2 linked regions of the Arabidopsis thaliana genome follow. The protein of the gene in region 1 interacts with the protein of each later gene in a pairwise test. Each region holds a gene or a part of one and is shown in the gene's direction. Other genes may lie near its edges.

The links.
Region 2: the proteins of ATE1 (region 1) and WRKY13 interact in a two-hybrid assay, tested with the Arabidopsis thaliana proteins (one large-scale study listed by BioGRID).

The regions. Positions count from the first base shown.
Region 1 is NC_003070.9:4,691,329-4,695,202, forward strand, and holds ATE1 (ATPase E1), read left to right. Parts: upstream 1-1,953; 5' UTR 1,954-2,051; coding exon 2,052-2,367; intron 2,368-2,435; exon of another isoform or gene 2,436-2,633; coding exon 2,634-2,851; 3' UTR 2,852-3,082; downstream 3,083-3,874. Other genes in the region: AT1G13680 (PLC-like phosphodiesterases superfamily protein), read left to right, coding at 1-35, 123-221, 600-903, 991-1,214, 1,288-1,374; PGL1 (6-phosphogluconolactonase 1), read right to left, coding at 3,147-3,644.
Region 2 is NC_003075.7:18,332,014-18,336,773, reverse strand, and holds WRKY13 (WRKY DNA-binding protein 13), read left to right. Parts: upstream 1-1,880; 5' UTR 1,881-1,984; coding exon 1,985-2,370; intron 2,371-2,570; coding exon 2,571-2,912; intron 2,913-3,650; coding exon 3,651-3,837; 3' UTR 3,838-4,168; downstream 4,169-4,760. UniProt on the Arabidopsis thaliana protein: Transcription factor. Interacts specifically with the W box (5'-(T)TGAC[CT]-3'), a frequently occurring elicitor-responsive cis-acting element.

The DNA.
Region 1 (3,874 bases):
CGACCCAAGAAGATACTATAGTTCAACAACTCAACGTGCGTTTTATTAATCAATAGACAAAAAATATATGTTACTTCATTATTATTATTTTTCTATCTTGTGAATGTTATGTTTTTGTTCAGAGTGGTGTTCGAGCATTGATGTTGGATACGTACGATTACGAAGGAGACGTATGGTTTTGCCATTCCTTCGACGAACAATGCTTTGAGTTCACCAAATTTGTAAGTTTAATCTCTAAATTTCTCTAACCAAAAGAAAACCGAGTCAAACCAAAACAATTATTTAGCAAACGTTTGAAAATAGAGACTGGTTTAGAATATAAGAAAGTAATAAACAAAAGAACACAACTTTTTTTGGCATTTTCAAAATAATCTCCCTTTTTGGTTTACCCTAGTGTGTGTGTGTGTGTGTGTGTGTTTGTGCAACACGTTTGTGTTTTCAATTTGCAAAATGTATTGTGAGACACATAATTATTTGCTTTTGAAACAATTGGAGCGTTAGTTTTGTCTTTTATTGGAAGAGAAAATATCCTAACATGCAATGTTTTGGTATAAATGATTTAATTTGGCTTGTATTGTTTTGTTATGTCACTTTTTTAGAATCGGGCGATAGACACATTCAAGGAGATATTCGCGTTCTTGACAGCGAATCCATCAGAGATCGTGACATTGATCTTGGAGGATTACGTCAAATCGCAAAACGGGTTAACCAAAGTATTTACCGATTCCGGTTTGAAGAAATTTTGGTTTCCGGTTCAAAATATGCCTATAGGTGGCCAAGATTGGCCGTTGGTTAAGGATATGGTCGCCAATAACCACCGGTTAATCGTTTTCACTTCAGCTAAATCTAAGCAAGAAACCGAAGGAATAGCTTACCAGTGGAATTACATGGTGGAAAATCAATGTGAGTGTGATGAGATACCAAAATTCCGGTTTAATTTTAGTTTGTTTAGATATCACGGATTAATCCCAACGTGGTATTGATTGTTAGATGGAGACGATGGAGTTAAACCAGATGAATGTAGCAATAGAGCAGATTCTGCACTGTTAACCGATAAAACGAAAGCTTTGGTTTCGGTAAACCATTTCAAGACAGTTCCGGTTAAGATATTGACTTGTGAGGAGAACTCTGAGCAACTTCTCGATATGATTAAGACATGTTACGTAGCCGCAGGGAACCGATGGGCCAATTTTGTCGCCGTCAACTTTTACAAGGTAAGGTTATATTTATTTTTAATTTTAATATCTCCTTGAATGAATTTTAAACTTTAATAACTCCTTGAAACAGAGGAGTAATGGAGGAGGAACGTTTCAAGCAATTGATAAACTAAACGGAGAGCTTCTATGTGGACGTGATGATGTGCATGCTTGTTAATTTGACTTGAATTTAACAAAATGCATTAGTCTTAAAGCTCGCCTTAGTTTACAAGATATTTTTAAGATATATATATATATATATATATCAAATTATTTTAAACATCTGGCTAATCTTAGCATGCATAAAGCATTATATTTTTGGGCTTAGTTTAACTCAAGTTTTTTTTAAAATAGGCTCCAAATGGAACAAAAAATTAAAGGAAACTAAACATTTAGATACCTACGAAGTAAACTTCTGAAATCTGAACAATATTTTGACTGTTTTTTTTGTCTATTTGGTTGATCCGTTGATTATGGCGTTTGAATAATAATACGTGAATGTATCAATTGTCATATTCGGTGGTAGTTTAGCAAAAAAATAAATATGCTTAAAAAAAAAGCAAAAAATAAATATATGGGGTGGCAAAAAAAAAATTGTTGGGATACTTTTTGGCTTGATGTCAAAAAAACAAAAAGGTAATAAGGAAATTTTATAATCTCAAAACAAAATTTATTGGGCCGACCCGCCAAAAACACATATGTATTATTGGGCCAATCCGCCAAAAAGCCCATTTATACGATGGAAACAAAAAAAGAAAAAAAATATCGGTATCGTCTTCTCTCTGGTGTTTTCCAGTAATTCCCTGAGAAGTAGAAGTAGAAGCGAGAAGGAATTCGAAGAAACAGATTTCAACAATGGCGGCAGTTCAACAGCAACAAGCGATGCAGAAGAACACTTTATACGTAGGAGGTTTAGCTGATGAAGTTAACGAATCGATCCTTCACGCCGCGTTTATACCTTTCGGCGATATCAAAGACGTGAAGACGCCGTTGGACCAAGCGAATCAGAAGCATAGATCCTTCGGATTCGTTACTTTTCTTGAGAGAGAAGACGCTTCTGCTGCTATGGATAATATGGACGGTGCTGAGCTTTATGGTCGTGTTCTCACTGTTAATTATGCTCTCCCTGAGAAAATTAAGGGTGGTGAACAGGGTTGGGCTGCTCATCCACGTACGTTTCCAATTACTGTTTCTCTTCTCCTTTTGATTTCTGAAATTTGAGCTATTGATAATGTTGATTTGGGGGTTTATGAAATTAGGGTTTGCAATTAGTGTTCTTTGTGATTTATTATTGATTCTGCAATTAGTGTTGTTAGATTTGCGGATTTGAAGTTAGGTCAAGTTTGTATTTGCTTCTCGATTGTATATATGATTAAGCTGAGAGGTTGTCTCGTTGTTTAACAAATGGGACTTATTGGTGTTGTTGGTTTGTTTCAGTTTGGGCAGATGCAGACACATGGTTTGAGAGGCAGCAACAGGAGAAGGAGATTCTGAAGATGCAAGCTGAGAACAAGGCTGCCATGGAGACTGCTGAGGAGCTTCACAGGAAGAAATTGGCGGAAGATCGACAAGGAGAGATGGAGGAAGATACAGATACCAAAAATGATCCTATGGCCAGAGCAGAGGCTGATGCTCTAAGTCACGGCGATGCCTAATGAAAGTAAGCGTTACCGGATTCTCTTATGCACCTTGTCCTGTAGGATAACAAGTATGTTTTCGCCTGAGTGTGTAACACTGTCACTATCACCTCATAGAGTTTTTGAGGTTAGATTGTTTCTTGAGGTTGATTACCATGTTATTGCTATAGTTAATAGATTTGGTAGTTTGGTGAAACTTGCTTGCTTAGAAAAGTAAGAGTCATGTATCTAAACCGGATGCTCTTCATACAAAAAGGGTCATCACTAATAACAAGAACCAATTGCTTTTGACTCAAAGAAGAAAACCTAAATCCTACTCGGAAAATTTAAACCTGTCAAGCTTAGACCCCGCTTGTTTATCCATAAACCAAATCAGATTCCCATTGCTCGGGTGGACTAGCCTTGCAGGCAGAGACAGAGAGCTGTCTGGTAAGGGCAAATCATCGATTGCTAAGTGGATAGCATTGGCTTTGGATTCGCCGGTTGCTACTACGACAACGTTAGCAGCTGAGTTGATGACGGGCAAAGTGAATGTGATTCTCTCTGGTGGCGGTTTATGAGAGTCGGTTAGGAATGTGACCCAATCGTCCTTCACCTCAAGTGCTGGGTGGTTCGGGAAGAGTGAGGCTACATGTCCATCTGAGCCCATCCCAAGCAAGATCAGATCAAACCTGGGACTGTCACTGTTGTCTGACGCAGCCACGGTTCGTGATCTCACCATCTGTCTGATGGCGAATTCATACTCTGTTGCAGCTTCCTCCGCTGAAACTGTGTCGTTAATGGAACATATATGTCTCGGAAACACATTTACCTGAAAATAACAAAAAAAAATCAAAGTCAACATTATAACAAGACAAAATACACAGCTGTATTGACCAACACCATGATTGGATAAGTTTCCAGATCGTCCATTTGTTTTCTTCACAAACAAGCAAAGATTGGGGCAAAAAAAGTCAATAGATTGCAGAATCAAGAAAACAAGACAACCACAAGAATACAAGATTCTTCTATCCAAAAGTCATCAAGAACCATTCCGAACAA
Region 2 (4,760 bases), on another chromosome or scaffold:
GAAAGTACTAATGCATTAGAGGGAGGAATTAATTAATATGTGCGTTGTTGTAATTAGAAACGTGTGATTAACCTTATATATATAAGTGTAATATAGTATATATAATAACTAACTTGATATCATAAAAATACTGATAGGAGGTTATCATGCGTGTATTTATATGTATGTACACAGATATATATATATATATATATATATATATATATACATAAAGTAAATAATAAGTGGGCTTGGAATTTGAGAAACGGTGGGGTTTCGGAACTTGATGAAACGATTACAAAATGCGATCTTGCAAAAGGTAACAGACTTTTCTCTCTTGTATGATTAATACTAGTGTATATTTTACGAATTTATTTATCTTTTCTTAGGTACAGTTTTTTAACGAAAAATGTCAAATAGGAGGCTAATTCATCAAATCATAATCATGATATCCTCATTTTTATTTTTTTTGTCAAAGATCATGATATCCTCATACAGGTACAGAGTAATAGATTTGCACCTAAGATTTTTCATCATTGCTCCTCCTAATCTATATATTCCTTTTTGGATTCCCAAAATAATAGCAATCGTATAAATTATTTGAGTACTACATCAAATATGAAATCCTAGCTACAAGAAAGTGATAGATGTGTGTATATTCCCATCACATCTCCAGCCATTTTTTTCCATGGAAAATGATTTCAGAATTTAACTTCTAGAGGATTTGGATTTATTTTGGAGAAATAATGATTACAAAATGGTGCAACTATCCTTCTCTATTCGTTTGAACGATTCAAATATGATCCTCCTGCCTAAATATATGGATTTTATGTTCAAAACACGAAATTCGCTAGAAATAGAAGTATTGTATTTTTCCCAAAAAAGAATTATAGTGTTTTGTAGAAATAAAATACAATACAAGAAGAAACTAAATTATTAATTTATTTTATTGAATAAATACATAAAAATAGGTGTATAGAACACATGAACGCCGTTTGAGGGACGTAACGGGACGCCGTGACAAAAGCTGGCTGCCGTTTAAGCGACACGACGTTAACTCCCACTACCTCTTCATCTTTCTCTCGAGTGCCCTGACGCGTTTTCTGCTTTTTGTTCTATCTTTCTTCGTTTTTCCTTTTTCTTATTAAATCAACAAAGAAAACAAATTTGTCTACACGATTTTAGTTAATAGTAATGTTGAGAAAACACATGTAATTCGACGAACAGATACACATTCACTTTTAATCATATATGGAGTAGCAAAAAAAAAAACTGTTTTTAATTTCAAATGTGGTTATTCTTTCTTTTAGACATCAAATTCGAACCAATAATCTTAGTTTGGAAAAGCATAAGTGGAAAAATGTTTATAAGTCTGTAGTTTTCCCACCAACTTAGTTTTTTTTTTTTTGATAAAGACCAAATTAAGGTTCAAATATTGTGAAAGTTGCAAGGCTGCATAGGACATATAATAATGAAAAATATTTGAGTTAATGAATAATTTTCATGCATAGATCAAATTAGTCATTGTTATAACATTTCAACTACCTAAAAATTTTACGTATTGTTGTATACTGCTACCAAAACACAAAACTGTAAGTCTTTTCGCTTGATCCTATAATCGTTCTAAATTTCCAAAAAAAAAAGAAAAAAAAAAAAAAAAAAAAATCTAAAACCTCATAGTTATTTTAACCAAAATACAGACTTTATTAATATCAACAAACATTTTTAAAAAGACCCCTCATCACTATTATATTTCAAAATCAGGCGAGTACAAAACAAATATGAGCATTTTAATCACATGTAAATCTTCGAACAAAACCAATCCAATTGGACCCACCTGCACCTTTTCATTATCCAACATTTATATATTAATCGAAACACTCACATGGATGGATTGGATTGTCTCAACTCTCAACCCAAAATCAAACAAAATATCCAGCAAAACAAAAACTTTCTCTCTCACTGTCTCACACACACAATCTCACCTTCGTCAAGCTTTTGCGAGATGGGTGCGATAAACCAAGGAATAAGCTTGTTTGATGAATCACAAACCGTCATAAACCCTATTAATACCAACCATCTAGGTTTCTTCTTCTCTTTCCCTAGTCACAGCACCTTATCTTCATCATCTTCGTCGTCTTCGTCTTCTCCTTCTTCTCTTGTGTCTCCATTTCTTGGTCATAACTCCCTAAACTCCTTCCTTCATAATAACCCGTCTTCATTCATAAGTCATCCTCAAGATTCCATCAATCTCATGACCAATCTCCCCGAAACCCTAATCTCGTCTTTGTCCTCATCAAAGCAAAGGGACGATCATGATGGTTTTCTTAATCTCGATCATCATCGTCTTACCGGTAGTATTTCATCCCAAAGACCCCTGTCAAATCCATGGTAAGTAGTTACTTACGAAAATACTAAAATTAATCATTATTTTCAAAATAAGTATTTAAATATATAAACCAAAAGCTCGTATATTTCCCTACTAGTTACTTTTGCTTTATTGTACAGAATTTTCAATTAGTTTGAGGATGCACACATGACTCGGCTACTTATATATAAGTAACTAATGTTTATATGTTAATGTGGTTTAGGGCATGGAGTTGTCAAGCGGGATACGGAAGCAGCCAGAAAAACAACCATGGAAGCGAGATTGATGTTGATGATAATGATGATGAGGTTGGCGATGGTGGTGGCATTAATGATGATGATAATGGTCGTCATCATCATCATGATACTCCCAGTCGTCATGATAAACATAACACAGCGTCATTAGGCGTAGTTTCTTCTCTGAAGATGAAGAAGCTTAAGACAAGAAGAAAAGTGAGGGAACCTCGGTTTTGCTTTAAGACACTTAGCGAGGTTGATGTCTTAGATGATGGATATAGATGGAGAAAGTATGGCCAGAAAGTTGTCAAAAACACCCAACATCCCAGGTAATTTAATTTAATTTTATGATTTGAAATTGGTTCCGAGTCTTTCAATTCTCAGCCGTTCTTTAATTAAGATGACTACATATCAGTTCTTCCACTTTTTTGCCTCTCATGATTCCTTGAAGGTTAATGATGACTTCTCATAAGAATTTTACGGTCTTGATCAATCATCAGTTTTTTTTTTTCCAAGTTTTTAACGTAAACTAATATGATGAAAATTTGTAGTGAATTATGAGCCATGTAATGATTAATCATTCATTTACGATTTTTCTAAGGGCAATGAAAATTATTAGTAGAATCTTTCTGGTACGTTTCTCTGTATATATGTAATTAAGTATCAGTTCTGTTATAACAAAAACTTTTGTCCCTCTGGGGATTAGTAGCTATAGAAAAATAGGAAAAGAATATAACCGTTAAGAAAGGAAAAAAGTAATTTCATGTAGAAATATTTGAGTGTTATGTGAGAATGTGAGACATAATGGGGTTGGGTTTCTGTAAGATTCTTTCTCACATGTTGACATTTGACATTTACAAATAATAATGATTTGTTTAGGTAACTTGTATACTCATTTTGTAAAGTTTTATCATGAGCTTTGTGATAAAGTTCCATTAGTTGCCTTAATATCTGTTTGATATTATATCACTCTATATTCAACTATAACTAGTCTAACCAAAAATAAGACTTGTTTCCCATAAAATTTGATATAAGATTAACTAATATATATAATATGTGAATGGCAGGAGCTATTACAGATGCACACAAGACAAGTGTAGAGTGAAGAAGAGAGTGGAGAGATTAGCAGATGACCCAAGAATGGTAATCACTACTTACGAAGGAAGACACCTTCACTCTCCTTCTAATCATCTCGACGACGACTCTCTCTCCACCTCTCACCTGCACCCTCCTCTCTCCAACTTCTTCTGGTGATTTCAATTTGTATTTCCATTGAATCAACCAATATCAAAAATCAATCAACCTTGCCTTGCCTCAAACTAATTATCGTATTATATATTAATCATCAACACCTAGCTCGATAAAAAAAAAGTTACACATATATAACATGTTCTCGTTAGGAAACAGGTATGATCGATGTTTTTATATTTGTAATGTGGACGATGTCACCGTGGTTTGTTTGTGTTTGTAAGATGATTAATGTACCATTTCCAAATTGAGGACTATATAATATATAGTTGAATTGATTTTATAGTTACTCTGTTGGTTGGTTTGTGTGACATTATTTGGTATATAAATGTAGTCCACATTCGAAAAATTTAAAGTTTTTATCATTAAAATTGTACTAACAAAAATTTGGCCGAAAATGCTTTCTATTTTTGACAAAAGGAAATTTAAACTCTCCAAAAAAACGCAGCAAAGACAAATACAAAATTTCGCTCAACGATACCTTCAACAGCTAAAGGAAATATATTTCATTGGGCCTTAGTTTGTAATTGGTGGGCTTTTAAATGTATCTTATTTTAAACGGAGTCAACAGAAAATTATATTGTAATGAGTTCCAAAAAACAGCTTATTGAGTCTATGTTTCAAATTGATGGGCCTTATAATGGGCTTCTTTAAATTTTACACTTGTTCAATAAAGACAGATTACCATAATGAGCCTATAGACGAGGAAAATTCTATTGGGTTTAATGATAGACCCAAGTCCACGAATATAGCGATCACGTGACAAACCAAGAAATTCGACAAATGGATAAGCGCGTTTAAGCACGTGAGCGTCTCGACTCTCTCGATTCCCAAAAGTGTAATGTAAAACCTTAAATAGTGTAATACGTTGATCAACTTAGATTACGAAACCTTATTACGAAAAGAAAACAAAACTATTAAAGAAATAG